Linked DNA regions of Notamacropus eugenii. The protein of the gene in region 4 purifies or fractionates together with the protein of the main gene of each other region. This does not show direct contact. Links are inferred from orthologs where the notes say so. Each region holds a gene or a part of one and is shown on either strand. Other genes may lie near its edges.

Region 1 (6,979 bases), on a different chromosome or scaffold from region 4:
GCCTAGCCCAAGGGCCCAAACAGGGCACTTAGCAGGGCTGGAATGCATTTGGACTCCAAATCCCCTAATCCAACATCCTAGAGGAGTCTTCTTTGAGGGCAGCCATGTGGTGCATCTGTGAAGGGGATGGATAGGACCCAGGCCAGGATTCCAACTAGACTTTAACTCTGCCTGAACAACTCAGGAAGTTTGTCTTCCTCAGGGGTCTGCTACAGCCACTGATGAGGAGCCCTCGCACGTTCTACCAGTCTTGGTCACCTTTCTTCCACTCAGAGTAGGATGCTAATCACTACTGATGAGAGCTCGAGAGTTTACAAAGCTCTTTCCAGGCATCATTCCATACCAATGCCAGTTTCCAAGTCTTTGTACAGATGTCCCCCATGCCTGAAATGCACTCTCTCCTCACCTTTAAGCATCTTTAATTTCCTTAACTTCCTTCAAAGATCTGCTAAAATGTCATGCTACTTTCTCCACAGGAGTCCTTCCTATGGAGAAAAGGAAATCCCTTCAGTTGCTAATGTCCTTTCTGAAGTCACTTTGTAAATATTTATATGATTTCCTTATAGAACATAGGATCCTTGAAGGCAGGGCCTGTTTCAGGACTTGGGTTTTTGGGTTTTTGTCTTTATGTTTCTAGCACCTGGATCACACAGTAGGTGATTAATTAATGCTTGGTAATTATCTCACTTGAGTCTAACAGCTCAGCAAGGTGGGGACTACCAAGCATTAACAGCACATCTTAATAGAGAAGGAAATTGAGGTTCTGAGAGACCGACACGACTAAGGTTAGAATTAGTGCCTACAACAGAACTTAAAGTGTTTTTCAGACTCTAAACCTAGGCTTCTATTAACTATGCCAGATGAGCAAGGTAGAGGAGGGGCCCTGAGGGCATAGTCCTATGCCAACCTGGGGATATCTCATCCAACAAAGAGGCTAACCTTCTGACACTAATGGGGTCAACTGAGGGTCACAAAACTGGGCATCCACAGAGATACCACCACCAACTTCCTCTATCCCCTCACTGGGTACTCACAGGGCACTAGAAAGCTTGTTCTGATGTCCCTCATCCCTATCTCAAAATGATCATTGGAGCTGACACTAACACTGGAGACTCCCTGTGAAGGGGGAGTAAGCCCCCAGATAAGCCTCCCCAGATCCTTTCTGCCAGCCTAGAGAGGGCACACTGGGGCACCAGCTGCCCACATGCCTTCTGGGGTTCTCTGGAAACTCTGCAAATTGATCTGTAACCCAGAACCTAAGTGGGAATTTGGGGAGGTGGGCAGTACAAACCTATCTCCCTCCCAAATGAATGAAGCCAGAGTTAAGGTGGAGGAATCACAGTGACTCTGTAGTCATCCAATTTTCTTCATTTTACAGATGAAGGAACTGAGGCCCAGAAAGGTTACCTATGACCATTAGGACTCCACTACCCCTTGCCCCAACAGGCTGCTCAGATCTGAAGAGCCCCTTCTGCCTCCGGAGTCCACCCCTTCCACCAGAAGGAAACTGCTCCTCTGGTCTGTCCCCTCATTTCCTCCCTGGGGCCAAAGTAGGTAGAGATGTGCAACTCCCACATGGAAAAGAACTCCACTCTTCTGGGGAGAAGGGGAAATGCCAGTCAACATGGAATCAGAGGCAGGGGGTGGAGGCAGCTGACTCTCAGACCCTAGGCTAGGTCTCCCTGGCATAGAGCAAAGCTGGAAGGGAACTTAGAAGCCATCAAAGACCAATCCCTTCTTTTTACAGAGAAGGAAACCGAGTTCCAGGGAAAGTACAGGACTAGTAGACCCACAGAATAAGTGGCTGAGGTAGGATTTGAGTCCAGTGTCCTTTACTGGCTTGCCCTGGATTTATCCACAGACCCTAGGCACCCAGGTCTAGGGTCTGTCCTGTGCTCCCTGCCTGGTACCAATGGTGCTGGGATTTCCCACTTCCCTGTCAAGTAGTGGCTGAGGAGAAGGAAAACTATCTCAAGACCCAGGCCTGCTCATCCTCCCCCACCCAGCAGGCTTTGTTTATGGGGTTGAGGAATGGTGTCTCAGGATTCCATTTGGCCTGACAGAGTAGGTGTGAGAGCCCCTAGCACCTTCAGAGGCCTAGGAATCAGTCACCACCTTCTGAAGAATTAAATGGGACCTAGGGCCTGACCCTGGCCCCTCTAACTCCAGGAAGAACAGCCCTACCAGGCCCTGGGCAGGCCAGGATGCCTAAAGACAAGCATCCCTGGGTAACCCTTGCCTTCCGAGTACCTTTGTGAGAAGACCTGTGGCCGGTGGACCGGGAGCTGGGCAAGGTGAGGGCAGGAGATACCTGCTCACCCCCTTTCCCCACAGATGTCCTCTGCAGCTACACAGCAATCGCAACGTGTGAGCAGCAGGTGTAAGACAGAAGGAGGCAGCCGAGACTCCATGACACAAACTAAGAACACACACTTCCACCCCCTAAGGAAAAATCCTTCTCGCTTCCCCCACAGTCCTTCTGCCGCCTAGGAGCCGGGGAGGGGGGGTGGATGCCGTTGGGGGGGAGGCCAGACTGCCCAAGGAGGAGAAGGCACCGGACACGTCCTTCCTGAAGCACGGACCCCGCTGGCCCCTGGGCTGGGGGTGCTGAGGGGGCAGGATGACCAGCACTGACGTGGGCACCAGCAGCAGCCCAGGAGCAGCGCGCTGCGCCCCTCCCCTCCCAGCTCGGGCCCCCGGGCACCCCGGTGCCCCTCCCAAGGACACCTGGCTCTGCAGTGGCTGCCGAGGCCGCAGCCCCCAGCCTCCGCTCACCCTCCCGCAGCATCCCGCCCCCGGCCTCGGGGCGCTGGCGTCTCGACCTCCTTCCCCCCCACCCCGGGGCCCCCGTGCCCGCCCCCGGCCCGGGCCTTACCCGGGGCGCTGCAGTCCGCACACACCTCGGCCCGCGGCCCCTTCCGGGACATCCTCAGCGGCGAGGCGGCCGCAGCCCTCTGGGCCAGCGTGGGGGGCGCGCGGGGGCGTCGGCCGCAGGCAGGGGGTCCCCGATGGCGCCCGCGGCCACGGCCACGGCTGCTGCGGAGGCCGCTCCCCGCCGCGCGTCCGCCCCCTCGGGGCCCCGGCCGTCGGCGCTCAGATCGGCCCCCGGCGCGTCCTCCCCGGCTCCGGCTCGGCCCGCCCGGCTCGGCCCGGCCCGGCCCCTGGCTCTCCGGCTCTCCGCAGGCTGCCCAGCTCGCGCTCAGCTGCTCCCGCAGGAAGCGACGCAGGCCCGGCCCACCGGGGGAGGGGCCCGCGCGCCTCCCGACCCCCAGCCCGGGCCCGGACCCGCCCCGCTCCCAGCTGGAGAAAGGAAATGGCAAGGAACACAGGAAGAGGCTCGAGGTGCTAGGGAGTGGGGGGGCTTTAAAGGGCCAGGAGGGCCGGGCTCTTCCCGCCCCCCCCAATCCCAGCCCCGGAGACCGCCCCCTCCCCAGCCTCTCCCCATCCTGAACCGAGTCGGGGAGGACTTGGCCTGGGTGACTGGCCGCCAGCTTGCCCCGCATCCTGGCCCCTTGCCTCAGTTTCCCCTACCTGCCCCCAAAGCGAGAACAGGGCGGAGCTGGTGGTGAGTCACCCCTACAGTTCCTCTTCCTGCCTTCCCCTATCCTAGCAGCGGGAGGAGGAAGGAGAGGGGGAGCATTGAGGGCAGGTGGTGAAAATGGGGCAAAAACGGGAGGTGGGGGATTAAGGCTGAACTGCCTCGCTGAGGTTTATTGTGTGTGTGTGTGTGTGCGTGTAAATAGGCCAGTTTAGGGGTGACCTAGCAAGCCGCCCCATACCAAGGAGAGGCGGACAAAGAATGTTGGGGAAAGGTCGCCATCCTCTGTGTGGGGGTGACAAGGCTGTGGGTGTTTGGGGAAGGAGGGATGGGCCAGCTTTTGTACAGTCTGGGTTCCTAAGAGCTGTCTGGGTGCGGAACGCATCGATTAGTGTCCACACTCTGGTGTCTGAGTTGGGGAAAACGTTCTATGTATGTATGGGTAGGGGCACACGATTCTGCAGAGAGCACCCACACTTGTGTGAAAGGGGGGGGGCGTTCTAACGATACCATCTTGATGGATAGAGAGCTGGCATCCATGGGCTCAAGCTGCCCTTCTGTCACCTGTGTGACCCCAGCCCCTGACAACGCCCTAAGGCTACAAATTGGGCTTCTTTTTCTTCCGGGTTCCTTGGAATTCCATAGGTCTATTTGTCTTAGCTTGCTGCAGGAAGTCTAGATCCCCAGATTTCCCTGGGAATGGGGGGAGAGCAGGTAGCCACCCGCGTGAGGAATATAGACCAAGTTTCTGGAAGAAAGAAATTCACTTGCCCAGCTTTGTATCCCCAGTCCACCCAGCTGGCACCCAAGAGGCACTCAATGGGTGGCGGGGGGAAGAGTAAGTCATTTTTATCCGTATTGTGCCTTATTGTTATGTACTTTAGCTAATTGACCTTGAGCAAATCCCTGGTCAGTTTCCCCATCGGTCAAATAAAGGGGGTTAGACTCCATGACCTCTAAGGTCCCTCCCAGCTTATGTTGGCATTGAACTGAATTAAACTGTTAACTTCTAGGGTGCCAGAGAGGTCACTCACTGCCTCCAGGCAAGACCACACCTAGACTACAGCTCCCCGTGGCTAAGAATCAAGCCCACTTCTAAAGATGTCTGGAGGAAGAGACAGACAGCTGCCTTCTCATGTGGGGACTTTCCTGTATTTTGTCATGTACTCATATATGTCCATTCCTGGAGGGGAGGAACAGAATGTACATGAAGTCCTGGCCTGTTTCATTTCAAGGCCACGTGTTCATGTCCAGGCTGTGTAAATGTATATATACACCCAGAATATTTCCTTGGAGTGGTTTTTCTTCGCAGGTTATGAAATTTTACATGAAGGAAGAAGCCTTGAGAAACTGCGAACCTGTGGCCCCAGCCTGCTCGTGTGCATTCCCTTGTGCTTGCCAGTTTGCATAAAATGCCCTGCCCTCTGCTGCTGCCCTTCCCCCCTTCTGCTTTTGACTCTGTCTCTGGGGAGGTGGGCATGACTCGGGAAAGCTGTTGGGAGGGGAAGGTGTTAGAAGCCGTTCCAGTGGTGAAAAGGTTGCAGGTGTAACGTCTAGAGTCTAGACAAAGAGGGGATTCTACTTGGCAACAGGAGATTCACTCACGTGGGGAGAGGTGCCAGAGATGTTCAGCCTATCTGTGGCAGGGGCTCGTGGGTGGGCAGACTAGCTCCCTCCCTGAGACAGCAGCCGCCCATGAGTCATGGCGCCCCAAATACAGCGAGACCTGCCTCTTTCGACTTCTCATTTCTACCCGGATTGACAAGTTTGTTTGAAAGTGTGTGTGTCCACTGGCTATATTTATAATCACACTTTAAAAAAAAAAGGAGACTGCCAGCTTGTAGCATTGCCTGTCTGCCTTGCCGCCTCCCCCAATGCAGTCCCTGAGTTGTTAGGAGAGAGCCAGGCAGTTTATCACCTGAGTTAGCCTGTGCCTGGCTGGCTCCCTCGGCTCCTGGAGAGCCCCACCTGCCAACGGCTGCATGGGAGGTGCTACTCCCCCCTTTTCCCCCAGGATGGGCCTTCTCTTCACCCTGGCATTCAAGGCTGAGGATGCTGAGACAGGCTCTCTCTCCCTACCCCACCCCCTTCCAGCCTCGTGGTGAGTGAATGCATGTGGAATGAAGGCTGGGGGTGGGAACTGGAGCTGAAGATTCAGCTCTTCTCTCAGCTATGGAATTTCATTTATTAAATGTCTACTCGGCTCTCAGCTGCACGGTCTGTTTGTCTTTGTTTCTTGGGCTGTGTGTGGGTGAGTTTGAGAGCACGTGGCAGCCTGGGACTGGCAGGCATGAAGGAGAACAAACAGGTGCCTGGCATGCCTCCCCCTACTCAATCTAAGTCTCTCAGTTGGACTGTGTCTCCTGGGGAGGGATGGGAGGGACATCCCAGGAACCAAGATGAATTGACTCCTTAGAGCACCTAAGCAAACTGGGATGATGGGGGGGGGGGGGGGCGGCCGCGCAGAATCACAGAATCATAGATCTAGAACTGAAGGCATCTCAGATACCATTTAGTCCAACTCCATTTTAGAGATGAGGAAACTGGCCTGGGGAGAGTGACTTCCTCCGTACTTACACAGTGTCAGAAGCAGGATTTGAACCCAGGTCTTCCTGACTCCAAGTCCAACACTACCCAACCCCCCCAGCCCTACTACCAGTCCCTCCCCCAAACTGTACCTTGTCCTGATACTTGGGGAAGAGGGCTCATGTAATTCAATAACCATTTATTGAATGTCTACTAGTCGAAGACAAAAACTAGTCCTGCCCTCAGGGGATTACAATCTCTTGAGGGAAAACACATAGACTACCTTCACTTACTAAGCACCTACTGTTTCTCAGCTTTGTGCCCGGTGATCTTATAAAGACAAAAGTGGTCCCTGTCCTTAACTTACCATTCTACCAGGAAGGAAATAGTGTGTACACTGATACAAAATATACAGAGTAAATACAAAGTAATTTGAGGAGAGAGGGACTTTAGAAGGCATGGAGGAGCAGATGACATCTGCAAATCCCCACACCTCTTTAGCGGTGGACTTGAAGGAGGCTGCAGTCCGTCTGTGTCTCGGCCATAGGAAGTGCTCAGCCACACCTTCATTCCCAGGAGTATCCGCTGTACAGGGGCACCCTCTCCTTTTCCTCTCTTGCCTCTCCAATCCCACTGCTTAGGCTCCCGGTCCAGGTACAACCCTCTGCTGACTCCTTGTGGTGGAGGTAGGGAGCAGCATGCCTAGGCACCAAAGGAGGCCCGCAGACTCTTCCGCAGGGGAATGGGGATGGTGACGCTGACTGCTCCCTCTCTCCCCCTGGCGGTGTGGCATCCTGGGATGTGCATGGTTTGCCATGGAGGCGGGGTATGGAATACAAGGAAGAGATGATGGAAAGGAGGATGAGAATATCATTTTCTAGCAAGTCTCAAACCATTATTGCTCTGAATGAGAAG
Region 2 (7,021 bases), on a different chromosome or scaffold from region 4:
TAAAAACTGGAAATCATCCATTGGGGAATGACTGAACAAGTTGTGGTATATGAATGTAATGGAATACTATTGTGCTCTAAGAAATGATGAACAGGAAGACTGTTCTGATGCTGATGTGAAAGGAGTAGAACCAGGAGAACTTTGTACACAGCAACAACCACAGTGTGTGAGGAATTTGTCTGGTAGACTTAGTACTTCACAGCAATGCAAGGACCTAAAAAATTCCCAATGGACTTTTGAGGCAAAATGTCTTCCACATCCAGAGAAAGAACTATGGAAATGGCTCACAGAATGAAGCATTTTCTTTTGTATTATGTTTTGTTTTCATGGTTTCTCCCATTCATTTTAATTCTTCTATTCAACATGACTAAGGTGAAATGTATTTAATAGGAATGTATGTGTAGAACCTATATAACATGACATGCTGTCTTGGAGAGGGAGGGAGGGGGGAAGGAGGAGGAGGGAGGGGAAAAAAATCTAAGATACATGGAAGTGATTATAGAACACTGAAAACAAATAAAATAATTTTTAAAACTCTCCCAGTTTACTTTCAAGTACCAGTATGCTACACGAGAAAAGCCATGAGTTTGGAGTCAGAACATTTGAGTCTGCATTCTGACTCAGTCATTTACCAGATGGTGACCATAGATAAGTCACTCAACCTTTATGAGACTATATTCTCCCATCTACAAACTATAAATGATAATAGTAATGGGTCAACTAGGTGGCACTACAGTGGATAGAGTGCCAGGCCTGGAGTCAGAAGTCTCTTCTTCCTGAGTTCAAATCCAGCCTCAGACACTTTCTAGCTGGGTGACCCTGGGCAAGTTACTTCATGCTGTTTGCCTCAATTTCCTCATCTGCAAAATGAGCTGCAGAAGGAAATGGCAATGCCCTCTAACATCTCTGCCAAGAAAATCTCAAAAGGGGTCATAAAGAATTGGACATGACTGAGGAACAAGAAACATCAACCTCCCAGGGCTTTTCTTTTTTTTAAATTGAGGATGTTCTATAAACCACTGTTGTATAAATAGTGTAAAGCACTATTGTGACTTGTGTCAATGCTAGTGTTGATTCTCTCAGTTACATGGGCCTTGGTTCACTGCTTCCTTAAAATTGATGAATAATGTGACATGATATGTCTGCCAAGAATATTTCAAAGTGGTGAGCGAGGATACCTGCTTCCTCCTCTTCGTTCTGCCAGTTTTTTGTTGTGGGACTGAGCTGTGCTTGCCTGAGCTTTAGTTGAACCATCTGAATGATTTTAGGGTTGGTTGCAGAGTTTCTAGAATTTTAAAATAATACTAGTCCTGATAGTGTTGTAAAGATCTGCCGAGATACCATATGCAAAAACTCTTTGTAAGCGCGAGATTGGCCCAGAGAGGCAAATAGTTATTTTACAGGGGATGATCATTTGTCAAGGACAAAGTTATGCATATAGATTTTACATGACATCACATGTGTAACTGATATCATTGCTTGCTTTTAATATGTGGGACAGGAGCTGGAAGGAAGAAGATAAGGTGGAATTCAACATTTAAAAAAATGAATGTTAAAATCAAGTATTCTTTTTAAAATTATTATTAAATAATTTTATTTGTTTTCAGTATTCTACAGTCACTTCCATATATCTTAGACTTTTTTCCCCTCTCTCCCCCTCCTTCTCCCTTCCCTCCCCATTCCCTCCCTGAGATGGTGTACAATCTTATATAGGTTCTACACATACATTGCTGTTAAATACATAAAATCAAGTATTCTTTAAAAACCTATATACAAAGCATTGATCTTATGAAGGATTTCAAAACCATATAGATAATTAAAATTTATTCTTCAGAGCAGTAATTTTAAAGGAAAATACTGCTATGATATAGTATAAAGGGAGATGTATTGACTTTGGAGTCAACAGCTTGCGGTTTGAATCTTAGCAGTCTTATTTCCAATCTGTGTGACCTTGGGTAAGTCCCTTCACTTCACTGGGCCTCAGTCTCCTCCCCTCAAAAATGAAGGGGTTGGATTGTGCCATAGGGGGTCTCCTCAGTGTAGGTTTGTTGTGCTAATTTTCTGGGGATCTCTTCCTAAGGGTGGTAGACAACGAGCATATTACAGCAAGGCCTATTATGTACGCCAGGAATTGGACCAAGCTCTGGGTTATAAACGAAGGACAAACCAATCTCTGTCCTCAAGGAGCTTCCATTCCACTAGGGGAGAGGACATTAACTAGCTAACTCCATATAAGATAAAGACAGAGTTGAAGGAAGGTAATTTGGAGTGGAAAGCTCTTGGGTCATTGAGGACTGGGAAAGGCCAATCACACAGAGAGAAGGGGGGCTGTAAGCAGAGTCTTGAAGGAAGCCAGGGAAATTAAGAGGGGGGAGGCCAAATGAGAGCATTCTAGGCCATTCCAGACATGGGGGCCAGCCAGTGCAAAGGGAGGGAGGCTTGAGATGGAGGGTTCTGTTAGAGGAAACAGAAGGTCTAACACTAATCCAGTGTAGCTGGATCCAGTGTGTGCCAGGGAGCAGAGTACAAAAAGACTCACAGGTAGGAAGGGGCCAGAGTGTGAAGGGTTTAACTGCCAAATAAAGAACTTGTATTTGCTCCTGGAAGTAATAGGGAGCCACCGGTGTGGGTCATGGTCAGAAATAGTCAGATCCGAGTTTTAGGAAGGTCCCTGTGGCAGCTGAGTGGGCCATGGATTAGAGACTATGTAGGAGGCTCTGGTCGTCTAGGTATCATGGACCCAACCTGAGTGCTGCTGATGGCATGAGCAGAGAGAATATTTAGTTTCCCATCTTCTTCTGATGACAACAACAATTACTGAGCAGTCACTTCTAGCTTTTGCAAAGAACAATGCTATGGTATTCGTTTCCCACCTATGAGGGAGTGACAGTTTGGAGAGAGTCTACCACGTTGCCAATCTCATCCAATCCAATGCAGTCCAATAGACATTTATTAAATACCACCGAGGATCATGGGCTTTGAGCTAGAAGGAACTTTAGAGATCACTGAGTCCAAGCCCTCCCCACTCCCATCAGATCTTCTTCAGAAGAGAGGACAGTGATGCACAGAAGCGTCAAGTGACTTCCCCGAGGCCACATAGCTGGTAAACGTCTGAGGCAAGATTTGAACCGAGAGCTTCTGAAGGCCCCGTTCAGCTCTGACTCCTCTAATCTAAATAAGAGCAACAGCTTTCATTTGACTAGTGTTTTTAGGTTTGCAAAGTTCTTTTCTCCCAACCAGCCCGTGAGGTAGAGTTGGAAGATCCCCAATTTCCCAGTGTGTGGTGTGCACTCCTGGCAAATGCTATTTTGTTTTCCAATTCTTCCTGTTTTTGTCATTATTTTCTTCAATCCCCCGATCCCTTCTTTCCCCGCCACCCCCAGACACACTTATTTTTAAAGCAACATGTTCTGGCCCATGTTACTGTGTCCAAGCCTTTGGCATGGGTTTTGCAGCTGGATTGTGCAGTGGGCATCAGGTCCGGAAAGAAATACGAAAGGAGGTAAGTAAACAGGGTGGCAGATGTTCTCCTTCTATTTCGCTCTTTGTCATGAAAGAAAATGCCATCCTCCCCGCTTCTGTGCCAGCCTTTAGACTTCTGGGTCCTCCTCCCCAGACCTCTTAAAGAGTATCCCAAGAAGTCGTGGCACCCAGCATCTTTGGGTGAGAACTTGTGGCTGGACAGCCATTCCTGGGATACATTTCCTGCTTCTCCCTTCTTGGAGCCCCACTGCCATTTCCACTGATTCCCCGAGAAAGCCTGGATCTGATCTGTTGGACATCCAAGCCAGTTGGCACCCACTTCCTGACAGAAGCCAGATTTTGTTCACTGAGGCTAGACTATTGACAGCTTGTCCCCAGGCTGGCCCACTCACTTTCTCATTTGCAAGGTTCCCTGCAAGGCTGGCTCACCTCTTTTTTCCAAGTGTCCCTACTTCCTTCTGTCCCCTCCCTCCCCAGCATCCTCTTCACTTCCTTCCCTTACAGCCCTGGCTCCTTCAAGTGTCTGTCAGTAGGAGCTTGTTTTTCAGTTGGGGGGTGGGGTGATGTGTATTGAAAAATACAATCATGCTTGTCCCTGGTTCTTCCCCTTGCTCTTTCTAGCTTTGCATAACTGAGTGTGGTCTCTGTGGTTAGAAGATCCCACCTTTGGAGTGGAGGTCCCACTGTGGCCAGAGAAGAGTTATCTCCACTGTTTGCACAGCAAGTGCCCGAAGAGAGAGCCCGGAAAAAAGGAAGACAGCACCCGATGCAATCGCGGATGTGGGTAAGACCTTGCAGCTGCTTCGGGTGCACAGTCCTCGGCAATGAATCCCGAGGAACGCATCGTGACATGGCTCATCTCTCTGGGAGTTTTAAATTCCCCCAAGAAGACCATCTGTGATCCGGAGGAATTCTTGAAGGTGTCTCTGAAAAATGGGGTAGTGCTATGCAAACTGCTAAATCGGCTTCTTCCTGGAGCTGTGGAAAAGGTAACTGAAATGGCCATGGTCTGCTTCCTTGGCCTACTTGGCTGCTTCCTCACCCAGGGCCCACTGCCTCCTGCTTCTAGGTCTGGGCCCCGGCTTTCCCCCAGACCTGAAGTGCCCTCCCTGCTCACTTCAGCCTCTTAGAATCTCTAGCTCTTCCTTCAAGGCTCAGCTCACCTGCCTTCTCCTCTAGGAAGCCTTTCTTTATCCCTTTAGTTGGTCTTCTTCCTCATTAGGTGGTGTATTTGCCTATCTGTTTATGTGTTGATCCCCCCAGTGGAATACAAGCTTCTTGTGGGTAAGGACTGTTTCTTATTTTTGTCTGCCTCTCCGTAGCACATAGCACAGTGCTTGGCACATCAAAGTAGATGTTTAACCAATATTTCTTGGCTTCAGACTGCCTAGCCCACATAACCTGTGAGTCAAATACTTTGTGTCTTTCCACTAGCTAGCAATGATTCCTCATCATTCATGTCTGAGAGGGATGGGATATGGTTCATGGACCCCTGGTAACTACCTCAGTACGGCCATTCTAGCATTGAGACAAGGGCAACATCCACCAGAAAAGTATTTCTTGTTAGAGTGAGTGAGATGTCAACTGACCTCCCCATGAACTAAGGACACAATTTAATCAGAATCTATGAAATTGTAAGATGTTTAAATCTAGGGCTGATGGCATAGCTGAAATGAATGTATTTCTTTAAAAGTTTACTTTTAGCAACAAGGAGAACCAAGCTAGGATGCGTGACTTCCGATAACAACTGAAACTAAATGGGTATTTGAAATGGAACACATAATTCCAGGAAGATTAAAATGTAGGCATTCCCCCCCACCCCATCCTCCTTTTTAGATTAGCACAGTTAAATTTTTGATGCTTCCCCTGAGGCTAGATCTTTACTCCAAAGGTAAAGGCAGTTTTCTAAAGGAGAACTCCAGTATTTAGGGAGTGTGCCCAAATAAACTGAGAACTGGGGAATAGAGGTGGGAGCCAAGTATGACTTGGACTTGAGTTTCTACAGCCAGATTGTAACAACTTTCTAGGCTAGAAAAATGATATATTAAAATACCGTGCAGGATGCATTTGGACCTGGTACTTGTTGGGTCAAATGTCCAAGTGGGGTGCAATGGAAAGATTTCTATTTGGGACCAGAGGTCCTGGTTTCAAATCTCAGCTTGGTTGCTTATTAGCTGTGAGACACTGGGAAAGTCATTTAATTTCCCTGGGCCTCAGTTTACCCACTGTAAAAGGAGGGGGTTGGCTTGGATGACTTCTGAGGTCCTTTCCTTTTTAGATCTGTGATCCACTGTGTTTTTGCCTTGGGCAAGAACTTTTACCTTAATGGGCCTCAATTTCCTCCTCTATCAAATGAAGGAGTTCTACTACTGAAGGACTTTAAGGTCCCTTCCAGCGGTAGAGCTAGGATCCTACCTGTGATCTTGGACCAGTCTTTCCCCTCCCCTCATTTCCTCCTCTGTCAAATGAGAGGGGCTGAACTAGATGCCCCTGAGGTCCCATGAACCCTAAATCTCTGATACTATGAAGGTTCCTATGAAATGGTAGAAAGCAGCAAGGTGGAAAATGTGCTTTTCATATATTTGAAAACAGTAACACAGTTTAAAAAATCCAGACACATCCTAATATCTTGGGATGGGGACAGAGAATGAAGAAATGTATATAGTCCAAATAATTTTGGACTCAGAGTTGGGAGACCCTTCAGTGGGCCTTTAGCCTGGGGCTCTGTTCTGAAACTGATATTTGAAACAAAAGGCCGTTTAGATTTTTACATCATTTCCTTCAATGGTTACTTCTCTTCCTGGTTTGAAAGCAGCCTTCCCCTTTGCCTTCAAAAAAAAAAAAACCCCAAAAGCAAACCAAAACCAAAAACCTACCTAGTTCTCATAAAACATGAAGCATGCTGGGCCTGCTTGGGAAACCCAACTCACAGAGGTTCTCTTGATCATTTCTTTAGTACCATCAGGAGCCCCAAACGGAAGCTGACTGCATCAGTAACATTAAGGACTTCCTCAAAGGATGTGCAGGTCTTCAGGTAGAGGTAAGTCAGTTGGCCCTGGCAACCTCAGTATCAGCATCATTAGTGCTTTTGGTTTTGTTTTGGGCTTTGTCATGCCAATAAAGAGGGGATTTGGTATTGGAGTAGAGGAAATCTCACTTGTTTGCTTTTCCCAATAGCCATTGCAAGGTTGAAGATTAGGCCCTTTTTTATTCACCCCACAGGAGAAATTGATGGTCACTTTGGTGGGAGGCTGTCTTTCTCAAAAATTCCTGGAAAAGACAACAGCAGAAGCAAGATGATTGTCTTTCACAGTCCAGCATGAAAGTTTTAAGAGTAAACTCAGATGGAACTGATGTGCTCTATGGCTGCTTTTCTCAGTCTCGAGGAACATTAATGGTTTAGACCATGATGTCCAACTCAGACAGAAACTGAGGATCATTAATCTGCACATAAGGATTCCTGTGGCCTTCACACTGACCTAGTTTTAAAATGTAATATTATCTTTGTTTTACTGTACTTTTATTTCATTTGTTGGAT
Region 3 (7,143 bases), on a different chromosome or scaffold from region 4:
AAGGCTATATCTGCACTGATCCTAGGACTGGGAAAGCAATTTTTCTTTGGTCAAAAAAATCTTTTGGAGAGTCAAAAAAGATTGATACAAATCAAGGGGAGAGCTGGGCTGAAGACATATCTGAATCACACATCTCTTCGGTCCAACTAAAAGGTGAAACAAACAGTGTGGAGAGCTGAACTCAGAGAATTGTAATTTCAGTGAATAAAGACATTTTCGGTCAGATGCATTTACTGAGCCCCATCTCATTTAGTTCTTGCAACAGCCATGTTTCAAACTTGGCCTCTCCTTCCTTCCTTCTTTGCAAAGGGAAGGATAACCCTGCTTGTCCTGTAGGACACACATTCACACTGCCACATGAGGTTTTAGTTAACTCGGTCCATTTTAAAGCTCCAGCCAAGCTTCAAAATGACAAGAATGGCATTCTAAAAATGGGTACAGAAATACTGATGTCCAAGGACTCTGCGCAAGACCCTTATTTTGGAGAGGACTGGGCTCCAAAGGCCACCAAGTCCCCTACCACCCCAGGAAGGCAGTAAGGATTGTGAATCCCAAAGGCAGATGGAGCCACTTTTCAATGCAAAGTCAGTGGAAGATAACTTGAATTCTTAACTGCATTTTCCCTCATGGATAGGAGTGCTCTAACCCTGTCCAAAGAAAGGACCACAGAGGGAAGGCTAACGGAGAGACCAACAGGGAGGCCTTGGTGAAGAATGAGAAGATCAGAGTTCAAATTGTGGCTTGACCGCTTCCTATCCTGTGAGACTTCCACCCAATCATTTAGCCTCTTGGGGCCTTAACTTCTTTATCTGTGAAGTGGCCCGGTATGCCCCCTCCAAATTTAAAGCTTATAATTCCTATGATCTCATTTCACTGCATCCATCAATGCCGTGAATTAGTCAAACAAGAATCTATCAAGCACCTACTAGAAGTCAGGACCAGTGTGCAGTGGAGACACCAAGATAAAAAGACAAGTCCCTCTGTTCTGTGCAATTCCATTCCATTGGAGGAGATGTGTGTATATGTGTATATGCATACAAGCATATACATATACAAACGTGTATCTATACATACATGCATACATATGTATGATTATATACAGAGTTAAGTAAAAACTCAATGGGACTGATACACAAGGTGGTGCTTGAACTGAGTGTTGAAAAAAGGGCTTCTCTGGGGCCCTGGGAAGGAGAGAGGGCATCCTAGGTATGGGGGATGGGCCAGGCTGGCCAGAACGGAATGGAAAACCACAGGAGGCTTGGAAGGTGGGCTAAGGCCAGCTGGTGAGGTTTCAGAAGACAAATTGAGTTTATATTTTATCCTGAAGGCAGCAGAGAGCCCCTGGAGCTAATGGAGTAGGGAATCCTGCACTTCAGGCTGGAGAATCAGAAATGCCAAGATCTGGCTGCTGACTGGATACAAAAGGTGAAGTTAAGGTGCTCTGTACCTGGAGAACGGCAACAATCAATGCCTTTGAAAGAAGAGACACTCGTGCTTAAGAAAGGTGGGTTCCGGGATCAAGAACAAGTTGTCTGCATGGGATGAGTCTGTGATCCCAGGATGAAATGTCCCAAAGGCAGGATGAGACGTGGCCCTGGGGCTGCCTGGACAGATCTGGGAACTGTGTGCACTGGGACGATAATGGGAGCAGATGAGATTACCAAGGCAGCACCAAGAGAGAAGAGGGCCCAGGACAGAGCCTGGGAGAAGATCCACGGTTAGGGGATGAGGAATGGACAGGCAGGGAGGAGCACCAGGAGAAATGTCTGGGAGGACAATAAGGTCAGGGTTATTGAATGCTGCCTGAGAAAAGACTGTCAGATATGACAATTCAGAGATAACTGATAGCACTGGGAACCATAATTTGATTTGAGTGTCGAGGTCAGAAGCCAAACTGCAAGGGGATAAGGGATGAGGGCGGAGGGAGTGGTGGAAACCACCTGCAACAGTTTTCTGCTAGGAGTTTGGCTGAGAAAGTGAGGAGGGATCTAAGCTGATCTAGTGAATGAAAACACTGAGCACTCCCAACTTATTCTAAGGGCAGAGTATAGAGCTGGGCCTGGAGTCAAGAAGATGGATCCTCTTGAGTTCAAATCTAGCCTCAGACACTTACTAGTTGGGTGACCCTGGGGAAGTCACTTAGCCCAGTTTGCCTCTGTTTCCTCATCTGTAAAATAAGCTGGAGAAGGAAGTGGAAAACCCCTCCAGTATCTCTGCCAAGAAAACCCAAATGAGGGCATGAGGAATCGGTCAGAACTGAACAACAACAAAGCTACTTTAAAGTAAACAGGTGACCTCCTACAGCGATGGAAAAAAACCCCAACAACCTTCAACAAGAACCCCATGAACCCAGAAGACAACAACAGCTAACAAACTAATGGATACTAAACACAACTAAAAACACAAGCTCTCATAACTGGTGAATGAGCCCATCTTTTTCTCTTCTGTCGATCTGGTGGGCTCACAGCACCAAAGACCCTAGGATGTCAAAGCTGCATTTGACCCATTCCTGAGGTGATGAAGTCACTTTCCCAGAGAATGCCAGAACTCAGGATTCCTGGCACTGGGCCTGACACCAAACATGCTCTGTAAAAATTCGTTGATTCATTGAAGATGGTGTGAAGGGAGCCCTGGATCATGAGCCAAAGCACCCAGATTCAAATTCCAGGGTCACACAATCCTTGGGTCAAGGGACCTTGGCTTCCTCATTTGTAAACTGGGGATAATAACACCTGGATAGTCAACCTGACCACGGTGAGGGAATGACGATACATTCTAATGCCTGCGTAGGACGACCAGCACCAAATGCTGGGTCACTCTAGCCTTCAGTTTCCCCCTTGTAAAAGAAGGGGCTGAGTTAAGGGATCTCTTGAGGTTCTTGGAAGCTCAGTTTCCTCATCAGTCAAGTAAGGGAGTGGAAGCAGACACCTGGAAGGTCCCTCAGACATACAAAGAGGGGGCTGGAGGAGATGGGCGTTCTCATCCTTGTTCTCCTGCTCCAGATTCCTGGGGTGGTCTGGGGATGCGGAGACCCCTTCTTTGAACATTTCTAAATGACTGAAGGAAATGCTGTGCTTCAGTTAAGAGGAGAGAGAAAATAAAGACCACATTTTCCCACATTCATGTTCATAGACTCTATGAAATTTATCTCCAGACACCTAGGGATCTTCAGGCTCCACCTTAGGACTCCCTGGCCAAAACAGTCCCTCAGGTCTCTTGGATTGTAAAGAGAGGAGATCCTCCCGGGGGACCTCCCAGCCCCTCCTGGCTCGGCCTCCCCCTCTGTAAAGAGAGGAGATGCTCCCGGGGGACCCCCCAGCCCCTCCTGGCTCGGTCTCCCCCTCTGTAAAGAGAGGAGATGCTCCCGGGGGACCCCCCAGCCCCTCCTGGCTCGGTCTCCCCCTCTGTAAAGAGAGGAGATGCTCCCGGGGGAGCTCTGCGGGGATGGTGGAGCCGATGAGCACCCCCGCCCCCCACTTCCCTCTGGCCACGCCGGTACCTCTTGCCCAGGGCAGGGGCACCCCTCCAGCCTCAGCTTCCCCCTCCTGCCCTGTCCACATCTGCGCTCGCTCTCAGGGTCTCGAAACCCTTAGCTGGCATCTAGTAGGCGCTTAATAGGTGCTCCCGACTTGCCCCGCTCTGCGCCCCCGAGGCCTCCGGCACCGTGCGAGGCTTGGGTTGACCCGGCTCTGGCTTGGGATCCTGCCACCACTCCCGCTCCGGGCCTCAGTTTCCCCCCTCGGGGGTCGGTCCCTCCCGTTCCCTCGGCCCTGCGGCTCTCGCCCTGGGCGGGCTAGGGCGCGGACGCCGGGGTCCCTAGGCTGACACCTGCCGCGGGCGCCGCCCGGCCCGGGCCCAGTCCCCCGCTCGTTTCCCGCCTCCCCGCAGCTGCCCCGGGGGGGCACAGCCTGACGGCCCGGAGGCGGCGCCCCCAGCCCGGCCCGCTCGGCGCCGCTCACTCACCGGGGCCGCTACAGTCGGCGCACACCTCGCTGCTCCGCAGCCGCTTCGACATGGCGCCCGCCTCCGGCGCCCCGACGGCGGCGGCGGCAGCGCTTCCGCTCCGACAGCTCCGCTCCCGGCAGCGCTGGCAGCCCCACGGCGGCGGCAGCGGCGGCGGCGGCGGCGGCACCTCCCCCTCGGCAGCGCGCAGGCGCAGCGCGCAGGCGCCCCAGCTCCACCGCCCCGCCCGAAGGCGGGGCACCGTCACGTGGCCGGAAGCGGCTTGCGGAAGCCTGGCGCCATCTTGGATAAGGGCAGGGCGGCCGCCACGCCTTTTCCTGGATCCTTCACATCGATTCCGGGAATGTCAGAGCTGCCAGCGCCCCAAGAAGCCCCAAAATAGAGAGGGGGGCAGCAGCCTTGGGGACACACAAGAAACCTTTCCCAGTCCTCAGAAATAACTAGTGTAGCGGAAAGAACTCGGGTTGGCCCCTGGTCCCTTTTGGTCCAGTCACTTCTCTTCTCTGGCTCAGTTTCCTTATTTGTAAAAGAAAGCCCTTAAGTTAAAGGCCCCTCGGGGCCCTTCCGGCTCCAGATCTAGGATCATGTGACTACTTCACAACCTCCGGTCACAGTTAATTCAATTCAATAAAGACTTATTAAGGACCTACTACGCGCGGGAGCGCTGGGGACATCTAAAGAGGCGGAAGAGCGGCCCCGCCCGCGAGGAGCTTCCAGTCCAAGGGCGGGGAATGACCGCGCGCCCCGGGTGGGGGCGGGGGGGGAGGGAGAGGGGATGACGTCCGGAGACGCACAGCGGAGCGTCTGCGCCGGAAGAGCCCTACTGAGTGCGGAAGCCCCTTGGCCCTGGGGCGGGGCGGGGCGGGGCGGGGCGGGGGCCCGGGGGGCGGGGCCTGCGCCAGGATGAACAGCCGCTCCCCCCTCCCCGACCCCGTCTGTCTGTCTGTCTGTCTGTCTGTCTGTCTGTCTGTCTGTCTGTCTGTCTGTCTGTCTGTCTCTCTCTGTCTCTGTCTCTCTCTCTGTGTCTCTCTCTCTGTTGGTCTATCTCTGTCTGTCTCTGTCTCTCTGTCTGTCTGTCTCTCTCTGTCTCTCTGTCTGTCTGTCTTTGTCTGTCTCTCTTTCTGTCTGTCTCTCTGTCTCTGTCTGTCTGTCTCTTTCTCTCTGCCTATCTATCTCTCTCTCTTTCTCTGTCTCTGTCTGTCTATCTCTCTCTGTCTCTCTGTCTGCCTATCTCTCTCTGTCTGTCTGTCTGTCTCTGTCTCTCTCTGTGTCTCTGTCTGTCTCTTTGTCTCTGTCTGTCTGTCTCTGTCTGTCTATCTCTCTCTGTCTCTCTGTATGTCTGTCTGTCTCTCTGTCTGTCTCTCTGTCTCTGTCTGTCTCTTTGTCTGTCTGTCTGTCTCTGTCTGTCTATCTCTCTCTTTCTCTCTGTCTGTCTCTGTCTTTGTCTGTCTCTGTCTGTCTATCTCTCTCTGTCTCTCTGTCTGTCTCTCTCTCTGTCTGTCTCTCTGTCTCTGTCTGTCTGTTTCTCTCTCTCTGCCTATCTCTCTCTCTTTCTCTCTGTCTGTCTCTGTCTTTGTCTGTCTGTCTCTGTCTCTCTCTGCTTTCAAGGGAGAGATGACATCTCTTTTGGAAACGTGGCATGGAAGCTTCTCTCTCCGGGCCATTCCTGGCGGTTCTCCCTGCCAGGGCCACACGGCCCCCTGGGCTGAGCAGAAGTCAGACCTTGAGGCTGTCCAGAGACAGCCCAAGAGGAGCCCTCGTGAGCCCCCGAAGTCAGGGGCTCCCAGTTGGCCCCTCCCTCGGTGCCAGCTGCCCTGTGGGCACTGACTACCGCAGGGAGGATGAAGCCCAGCCCTGGCCTGGCCTCTTGGGCGCCTGGGACCTTCGGTAGTTGTGGACACAAGGCAGAGCCCAGGGAAAATGCCCGCTCAGCGGTCTGACCTCATGCCACCGTTTAAAGGATCAGCTTCCTAGCAGGCTGGCATAGGGGCACAGGCTACTGTCTCATCTTTTATGTCTTTGTTAACATGTGTTTACGAAACTTGAGTGTTTTAAATACCCCTTTTGTAGTGGAGACATAAAGAGCTGTCCTAGAAACCTGAGGCGCTTTGTTCATCCAGAACCTTTCTGGAGGGGTCCCTGCTGCACCCTTTGGGGATCAGCCTTTAGTGAGGGCCAAGTCAAACCTCAGCTCTCCGGAGGATGCCCAGTGCAGCCTGTGACAGGACAGTGATCAGGACCAAGAACTTGACCCTTCTCCTTAGGACTGAAGCCTGGGGTTCTGGCCCCTTAGCTGGGGTATCTGAGCACCTAGGCCTGGGGGCCCAGCAGCAGTCTGCAGCTATGTGTGACTTCGGATGTAAGTGTGCAGGACCTAGTTACCCAGGGTTACCCGTAAGCAGGGGCCGAGCTTAGTCCTTCCCGATTCCATCCCTAGCTCTGCATCTGCTGTTAGCTCTAATGACGTTAATAAGTAACAAGGACATAGTGCTTACTACATACTATAACACGTTATATAGCACATACTGCTTACTGTATAGTAACGTACGGTGCTTATTACATATAATATGCATAATGTAGATTTATAGTGCTTGCTACATATTATACATTATAACATAGATTTATAGTGTTCACTACTACTACTAACATGTAGTATTTACTACATATAAGATATTGATAGGATTTACTATATAATAATAACATTTATACAGTTTTACTGTATATTTACATTATAATATATAGTGCTTACTATATGTCATATAAAAATATATTCTACATTTTTAGTGCTTACTACTATTAGCATTTTATTATATCTGTATAGTGCTTACTATGTAATCACAACTAACATTTATGGTGTTTAATACATATTATATATCATATGTATTTAATTTTAACACATACATATTATATTATGACATATCTAATTGTATTATAATTACATATATTATAACATAATATATATTTATAGTACTGTATATAATATTATAATGTTTACTACTAGTAACTAACATGTAGTACTCACTACATATTATATATTATAACATATAATAACATTTACAGTACTTACTGTATAATAACTAACATTTATATAGCATTTACTGTATATTAATATATATTTATAGGGATTACTCTATAACTAAGGTTTATATAGTGCTTATCATATTACAATATTACATAGTG
Region 4 (7,576 bases):
AATAACATAAAACTATCACAAGACCCATTATTCACACTTGATTATTTTGAAGATAAAGATTCAAAATGCTTGACGGACATCAAGATTCATATGTTCACTGACCCTAAAACTACCTCTTATGATTCCTTTTTTTTCTTTTTCACCTCTAGACTATGAAAGATGAATGCTACAAGGACAGCAGTACTGGTTTGGAGCTAAGTCACCTGAATATATTCCATCTTTTTTATTAGCTTAGAAGTGATCAAATGCCCATCAATGAAAGATCAATGGATTTGAGGGACGCGGCTAAAGAACAGGAAAAGCATGAACTTCTGACACCAAAAGGACCAAAATACTAATGAGATTTCCAGACACCTCAAAATTTTGTGACCTAATATAAATTCAGGAGGAATCAAAAGAAGCATTTTACTAAAATCATTAGATAAATGTTTTACCTAAGCATTTTACTTTAAATTGTGGTTGATGAGTAAATAATAACAGCTAAAGATCTGTGGGAAAATATATCAAATTGTACCTAGGTTCTGATATCTTAAAGTCATGAACTAAAAACTGTGTTTCCTACCAGAATACTTTGTTTAAAAAAAAAAAGCATTTAATGGAAAAGCATGCTACTCTATCAGCCATGTCAATGAGGTATCCTGTCTGCTCAAGCGATAAAACACCTGACGGCAGCTTTCAGTAACTGCAGGCAAAGTACCTAAAAGGAAATATTCTCTGCAAACATTAGAAACATTATAATGCTCCAGAAAAAAAATAATTTCCCAAATAACAGCAATATCACTGAGTAATAAGTTGTCTAGTCACAGGATCCTAGGTCTCAACTAGACAGGAATACCTAGAAAAAAGATAGCATACCACAGCAGAAAAAGCTTCACCAGTCTTGTCGGTCAGAAAGCCTGTGATAGAATACTGATTCTGCTACTTATTAGCTTAATAACCTTAAGCAAGTCACTGGACACCTCTATGGGCCTCTAGTTCCTCATCTGTACAATATAGTCACTGGCCTAAATGACCTTTAAGGTCACTCCCAGCTAGCTATAATTCTGGGTGTGTAATTTCCTGAATGAGAACCAGGGATTGCACATACAACTGTCATAAAAAACAAAGTTTTAAAGAACTCTAAGAGTTCCAACATCTCATACCCTGAGATTATCAGAACTACAATTATCAAACATTTAACCCCATTCTTGGCATGAGGGGTTGTGTTAAGTCTCTAAAAGAAAAAGAAGAGGTTAAGATCTTGGCTATTCATTGTTGCTCACCAACCAATCATGTCACGCACATAGCCTTTGGAACACTTCAATACTAATGCTTTTTTTATTATGTTTGGAAAAGGGACACCATACCATTTGTAGGTTTTCAGCAGTAACAGTGAGAAGACCACACAAAAACACCTGAATTTGGATCACCTCCATGGGTTCAATGTCTAGGTCCACATCAAAAACATAAAAAATCATCTTTGTTGAGGGGCTAGAAACTTATCATCAGTCCTGAGTTTTCCTAAAGCAACTGTCACCTTAAACACTGCCTTAACAAAATGTTCTCTCTGATAGATGCTTTTTCTTCTGATGATTAAAAAAATTTGTCACTTGCTAACCAATAGTGCCAAGTGCACAATTTAAAAAGCCAAAGATAAAAGTGTCACCTTAAACCTATATTCTTAAACGAGATTTTACTCGGTCTTCCTTTTTTCTAAAAAGTTAAGTCTTTGACAAAAGCTACAGAACCTCTGGCAAGGCTGGACAAGTTTTTACTTGCCTCCAAAATTACTGTGCACTTAGTTCATCTAACAAAAGAGATCTTCATCTAGCTTCATTTTAAATTATTCTTATTTTTCTGGACAACCTACAAAAACAAACTCTCAAGAGTAAATTCTTGTAGATTTCAATATCCTGCCTACTTATAAGAGCGGAAGAGTCAAACACAGCAGGGGAAAAAATGTGACGCGTATAGCCTTGATCCAAAACCCAGCTTGTGGGTCTAATTTTAGGCCTAACCATTCTGATTGTGTCCTTTTGCAAAGGAGGCAAAACATGTCTAGATTATTAGATAGAAATCGATGAATCACCATATAGCGGGAAATAAATCTCCTGTTGCATAAAGAGGATATTCTCTCTCACCCCCAATAAAAGGACGACCACAAACTATACTCTAACCAGGAAACTAGAAGTACTTTCCAGACATCAATACTCGGGTCATTCAGTACTTAAAAGACTTGTGCAAAATGATGAATCCACTTAAGAAGTTTTTATTCTAGGAGTGCCCCCCCCCCCAAAAAAAAGAAATTTAAGTAGCTGAAAGCAGCAAGTTCATGCTCAGTAACTTCAAGTTAATTTAAGGTTACCTACAGAAGTCCACAACTCGCCTCCTGGCACAGTGGGATTAAAATGGGAATGATCAGAAATGAGACCTAAGGAGTTGTTGCTACAGAGGTGGGGATGGATTTGTGGACCAGGAGTTTCAGCTGCTGCGGTTTGTGGGAAGGGAGATAGCAGATTGGGGTTAAGGGCTGGGCAGAGATTCAACGGACCCATGTCCAGAGCCCAAAGAGGGAGGACAGGAGGGATCGCTGGGAACTGTCGGGAAGGAGAGAAACTGGCCGGACTCCAAAGGGGCCACGAGGAAAAGAAAAAGACGTGTGAGTGGAAGGGAGAGATAAGTGGAGAGCAGAGGGGCAGAGGCTCGGGGCAGGTCAGGGGCAGGACGACCCCCACTCCCGTCCAACTTCTCGGCCCTCCCGCCCAACTTCTCGGCCCTCCCTTCCCCCAGAAGCAGAGAAGGGGAAGAAGTCTGCCCCGGGGGAGCAAACAATAAGCAGCCACCGCCCCGGGACGCAGGTGGCGGCGGCGGCCGAGCCGGGGTGCCTGGCGCGGGGGAGGGGGCGCCAAGCCTCACTTACCGCGGCCACGGAGAGAAGCGTCCCCGCCCCTGCGAGGCGCCTGGGTCAGCGTCTCCTCCTGCGACCGCCGGGACGCAAGCCCCGCGCGCCCCGCCTGGCTGGCTGGCTGGCTCCGGAGCCGCCCCGGGAGGGCGCGGCAAGGGAGAGCAGGGTAGGGGGGGGACCGGGAGCCGGCCTCGCAACTCGAGGCCCCCTGCCCCGGGACACTACTGCGGTCGCCCTCGCTACTAGGCCGTGCTGCCGCCCCGAGCGCCCCAGTGCAGGCAGGGCAGGGGAGGCAGCCTTGGGCAATGGCGACCGCCGGGGCCTGAGGGGAAGCGGAACAACCGCCGCCGCCGCTGCTGCTGCGCGTGGCCACAACCCTAGAGGAGGGAGGGGGGACGAGGAGAGCTCAGGGGAGGAGGCGTCAACAACTGCAGCGCCCCGCAGGCTGTGCCGAGCGGGAGCCGTCGCCTCTCCTGGGTCAAACCGCGCCCCTCAAACCCGATTGGCCGCCGTCCGCGAAGGGAACAAGAGGCTACTGGGAGTTGTAGTTCCCGGGTGGTTGGTGATTCAGAGCCCAGAGAGGCTGTGCAGTCTTTCATGTAGTGCAATCCCCTGTCTCCTAAAGGGCCTATGCCAATTCTGCTCTATTTGGGGAATTCACCAGATAGTTAGGATATACATAAATCCTATGCACACGTCAATGCTAATTTTTTTTTATTATGCATGAAAAAGGCTTACCATTTCTAGTCTGAGAGTCCTCTGAAGTGATATGCCACCTTCTAAATCCATTTAGGTGTTTACCTACCAAATCTTGATGTCCAAAACACAATGCTTTCTGATAGTAAGCACTAAATAAATTTTTTATTCATTCATTCAAAAAAGTCATTCTACTTAAATGAACTGATGCAAAGTAAAGTGAGCAAAAATAGAACATTGTATACAATAACAGCAACGTTGTAACAATGATCAAAGATGAAAGACTTAAACATTGTAACATAGACAAGGATCCAAGACAGTTCCAAAGGACCCATGATGAAAAATGCTATCCACCCTCCAGAGAAAACTGACAAACTCTGCTGGCATTTTGAAGTATACTTTTTTTTTACTTTACTTTTCTTCCTTTTTGATGTGTTTTCTTTTGCAACATGTCTAATAGGAAAATGTTTTGTATTTTGCATTTGTGGGAAAGAGGGAGAAAATTTGAAACTCAATTTTTTTTTTAAATTAATGTTGATTTTGTTTTTACATGTAACTGGGAAAGTGTGCATGTGTGTGTGTGTATTTTAAGTCATTCCTGAACCCAGGCCTCAGTTTCCCCATGATGTATATAATCAATATTTTATTGCATTGCAGTACAATGGAAGGTTTTTTGGTTGCTTAGTGGTATCCAACTCTTTGTAACCCCATTTGAGGTTTTCTTGGCAAAAATACTAGAATGGTTTGCCCAGGTATATACAGCCAGTGTCATAATGCTTCCTGACTTCAGACCCGGTACTCTATACATTTTACCACCTAGTTGCCCCACAAAAAGGAAGCAGGAGACCTCCAAAAACAAACCACCTACTTCAAAATTTGGATCCACCTTCCCTCATCCGAAGTCAAGTATAATGATCACTTAACTGTCCTCACCCTATTCCTTATTCTGCCTGAAGCAGCAAAATGAAATGAGCGGAAGAATGTCAGGATGCAGTGAACTAGGCCTGTGGTATACTTGAATGCTTTTCAGAGACAGATCCAGGATGTACAGACAAAAGATTTGTGGCATTCAGTTTTGTAGAAGTAACATGATAAGGTAGAAAGAACAAACTGGGAGAATCAATGGTAAACTGGAATTATGTCTTGGTCTTGCCTTTAATACTATCTACGTGATATTGTGCAAGTCACTGTCTCCACCTCGATTTCCTTATCTGTCCAATAAAGAAAGGGGAAATAGATTTATCTATCAAGCCCACCCAACTGGTAACATTCTGTAACTATATAACTTGAAAATATGACCTCAGAGAAATCACTTCCCATCTTATTATACTTTCCACATCTGTAAAATGAGGTATAATAGCTGGACTAGGTAATCTTTAAAATTCCTTGCAGTTCCATGAGTTGATTCTTCCTGTAAAATCATTTTAGGAGACACTGTACTTCAAGAAGCAAGCACTCTAGAAAGCCACAAAATTGCATAGCAACTTTGAGGTTTGGTAAATTTTTAACAGTTAAACCTAGCCCTTTAATGCTAAATCTCTTTAAAAAATCAAAGGTACCCATAAGAAAAAAATAACAGATCAAAAAATGTAATTGGCCCATAGAAATTTTGCCTTTTCAATTATCAAATCAAAGAATGAAGCCCCAACTCATCTCTGCACTGGAGTGAAAAAAAATACTGATTAAGCACTTACTATGTGCCAGGCATTGGGCTTAGGACTGTGTGTATTACAAGCAAGCAAGTCCTACCCTTAAGAAACTGACAATGCAATTGAGGGGGGGGGGAAAGGGAGAGAGGGAGGGAGAGAGAGGGAGGAAGGGGGCGGGAGAGAGAGAGAGATGGAAGTATATATCTATCTACTTATCATCTATCTATCTTTGAGCTAGAAACTGGGATGGGAGGATGTTCCAGAAGTGGTCTGGAAATGATGTGGTAGCCTGATTCTGGGCAAGATAAGGTCCTGGGTCCAACTATAAAGCCTCTGAGAAAGATAAACCCTCTTTGAAGGTATTTATCTTTGGAAAACAGTAGAAAGCCATATTTTAGGATGGCTTCTACAATACCCCAGCTGCTTCTTTTTTGTGATAAATGCTGCTACATAACCTATATTACTATACTATGTTCTTCATACAATAAAATATTTACTGATATTAACAGGATTTTTTACTGAGTCAGTATCTAAACTGAGAATGACGAAACAGCAAGCCAGAGACAAAGTGCCAACAATCAAGCAGCAGTTTAATTAATTAGTTTCATTGTGAGAAACAGATTTGCAAATTGGGAATTCTCCTGATCTTACATGTTTATGTATATACCACACACATATATCACATTGTATTTACTCTACCAAAAAGCATAGTTATAATATATCCTGACTGAAAAATCTAGGAAGACTTATATGAATTGATATAAAGTGAAGTGAGTAGAACCAGGGGAACACTATACACAGAAACAGCAATATTGTAATGGTGATCAACTGTTAAAGATTTGGGTATTCTGATCAAGACAATGATTCCAAATCCCAAGACAATCCCAAACAATTCATGATGAAAAATGGTATCCACCCCCAGAGAGAGAACTGATGAACTCTGAATGCCAACTGAAGCATACTTTTTTTACTTTATTTTTTTGGGGGAGGTTTTGTGTCTTCTTTAGCAACACAGCCAATATGGAAATATGTTTTGTGTGATTTACATGTATCATAGATACAATATTGCTTACCTTCTCAAGGGGTGGGTGAGGGGCAGGAGGAAGGGAGAGAATTTGGAACTCAAAATTTTTAAAAATGAATGTTAAAACAATTTTTTCAAGTAATTGGGAAATATTTAACACAATAGATAAAAATATATTTTTAAAAAATAATATGCTCTGATTTATTGGTTAGCAGCACATTTACTTCAGGGTTATTTTGAGGTTCGCCTACTGTTATTCTTACTTCCTATTTTTTTTAACCAAATAAAGCAGGGACTAGGCCTCCATTTTTAAAAATCAATGTATAATAATCTTATTATGAGACATACAAGGTTTCATAGAAGATCTTCTTTAATGAGCAGACTGAGCTGTGTTCCCTCACACTTCTCTTATACTAAAGCTTATTAAGTAACTTCATTATTTTTCCTTCCCCACCATTAACAGATGTATATAAATCCAGAAGCAATATAATAAAAGAGAAATAGGATGCCACTGAGTATGGTAAGTTTTGCTATTAGCAATAACAGTCTCTGGTGTTAATTTTGCTTCTCCCTAAACCATTGGATGTTTTCTAATGTTTTTCAAAAAAATTAATTGTCAATCAAATGTCTGATTAGAAATACTGTGCCCTCATCTGTAATGCTTTCTCTGATTTCTATTAACATCTGTTAGTTAATAATATCAAAAAATATAAGAAATTCATTTCTCTGAAAATAGAACTCATTTTTCTCTTCTAATTCAATTAACACATATTACACTAAGAGCAAAGAGCTACCTCAGGCTGTGAGGCAAATACAAAGATAAATAAGACATGATTCTTTACACTCAAAGGGCTTACAATCTTGTAACTGACCCTATTCTTTGAAAAATAATTTATCCATTTAACAGAATTAAATTGTTTATATTGGCACTTGATACTTGAGAAATTACCAAGCACAAATGCAGCATAAATTTCTGTATTAAGTAAAAATTAGGTGAAATTATTTACAAAACACCATTCTACATTTTTTATTTAACTGTTCTCAACAAAACTAAAATACATTACTGTCAATTAAAAGGAATGCCATAATTCTAGAATACTACCAACTATTACATTACATTCTCACAGGGAGAAATGACCATGTTTGAAGATGGCTCTGAGTATAAGACCAGAACATAAGATTGTAACAAGCAGAGTTATGACACATACGAAAAGACAATGTACTCGCAGCCCCACTGGAACCTGTAGTATCACATTCTGATTTACCTACGGAGAGAGGGTAGACAAGTTCAATTTAAGATTAGAGGAACACTCTAAATGCACA

The links.
Region 1: the proteins of PAK2 (region 4) and GIT1 purify together in Homo sapiens (affinity purification with mass spectrometry; 5 studies listed by BioGRID and IntAct, with this or other methods). This does not show direct contact. The link is inferred for Notamacropus eugenii from reciprocal best matches to the Homo sapiens genes PAK2 and GIT1.
Region 2: the proteins of PAK2 (region 4) and ARHGEF6 purify together in Homo sapiens (affinity purification with mass spectrometry; 3 studies listed by BioGRID and IntAct, counting the BioPlex papers as one, with this or other methods). This does not show direct contact. The link is inferred for Notamacropus eugenii from reciprocal best matches to the Homo sapiens genes PAK2 and ARHGEF6.
Region 3: the proteins of PAK2 (region 4) and GIT2 purify together in Homo sapiens (affinity purification with mass spectrometry; 3 studies listed by BioGRID and IntAct, with this or other methods). This does not show direct contact. The link is inferred for Notamacropus eugenii from reciprocal best matches to the Homo sapiens genes PAK2 and GIT2.

The regions. Positions count from the first base shown.
Region 1 is NC_092873.1:37,130,916-37,137,894, forward strand, and holds the start of GIT1 (ARF GTPase-activating protein GIT1), read right to left. Parts: upstream 3,004-6,979; 5' UTR 2,928-3,003; coding exon 2,876-2,927; intron 1-2,875. Other genes in the region: uncharacterized protein, read left to right, coding at 3,009-3,565, 4,552-4,597. UniProt on the Homo sapiens protein: GTPase-activating protein for ADP ribosylation factor family members, including ARF1.
Region 2 is NC_092879.1:58,084,601-58,091,621, reverse strand, and holds the start of ARHGEF6 (rho guanine nucleotide exchange factor 6), read left to right. Parts: upstream 1-4,004; 5' UTR 4,005-4,307; coding exon 4,308-4,472; intron 4,473-6,439; coding exon 6,440-6,523; intron 6,524-7,021. UniProt on the Homo sapiens protein: Acts as a RAC1 guanine nucleotide exchange factor (GEF).
Region 3 is NC_092875.1:22,007,463-22,014,605, reverse strand, and holds the start of GIT2 (ARF GTPase-activating protein GIT2), read right to left. Parts: upstream 3,011-7,143; 5' UTR 2,984-3,010; coding exon 2,929-2,983; intron 1-2,928. UniProt on the Homo sapiens protein: GTPase-activating protein for ADP ribosylation factor family members, including ARF1.
Region 4 is NC_092876.1:335,605,576-335,613,151, forward strand, and holds the start of PAK2 (serine/threonine-protein kinase PAK 2), read right to left. Parts: upstream 3,012-7,576; 5' UTR 2,900-3,011; intron 1-2,899. Other genes in the region: PIGX (phosphatidylinositol-glycan biosynthesis class X protein), read right to left, coding at 7,375-7,518. UniProt on the Homo sapiens protein: Serine/threonine protein kinase that plays a role in a variety of different signaling pathways including cytoskeleton regulation, cell motility, cell cycle progression, apoptosis or proliferation.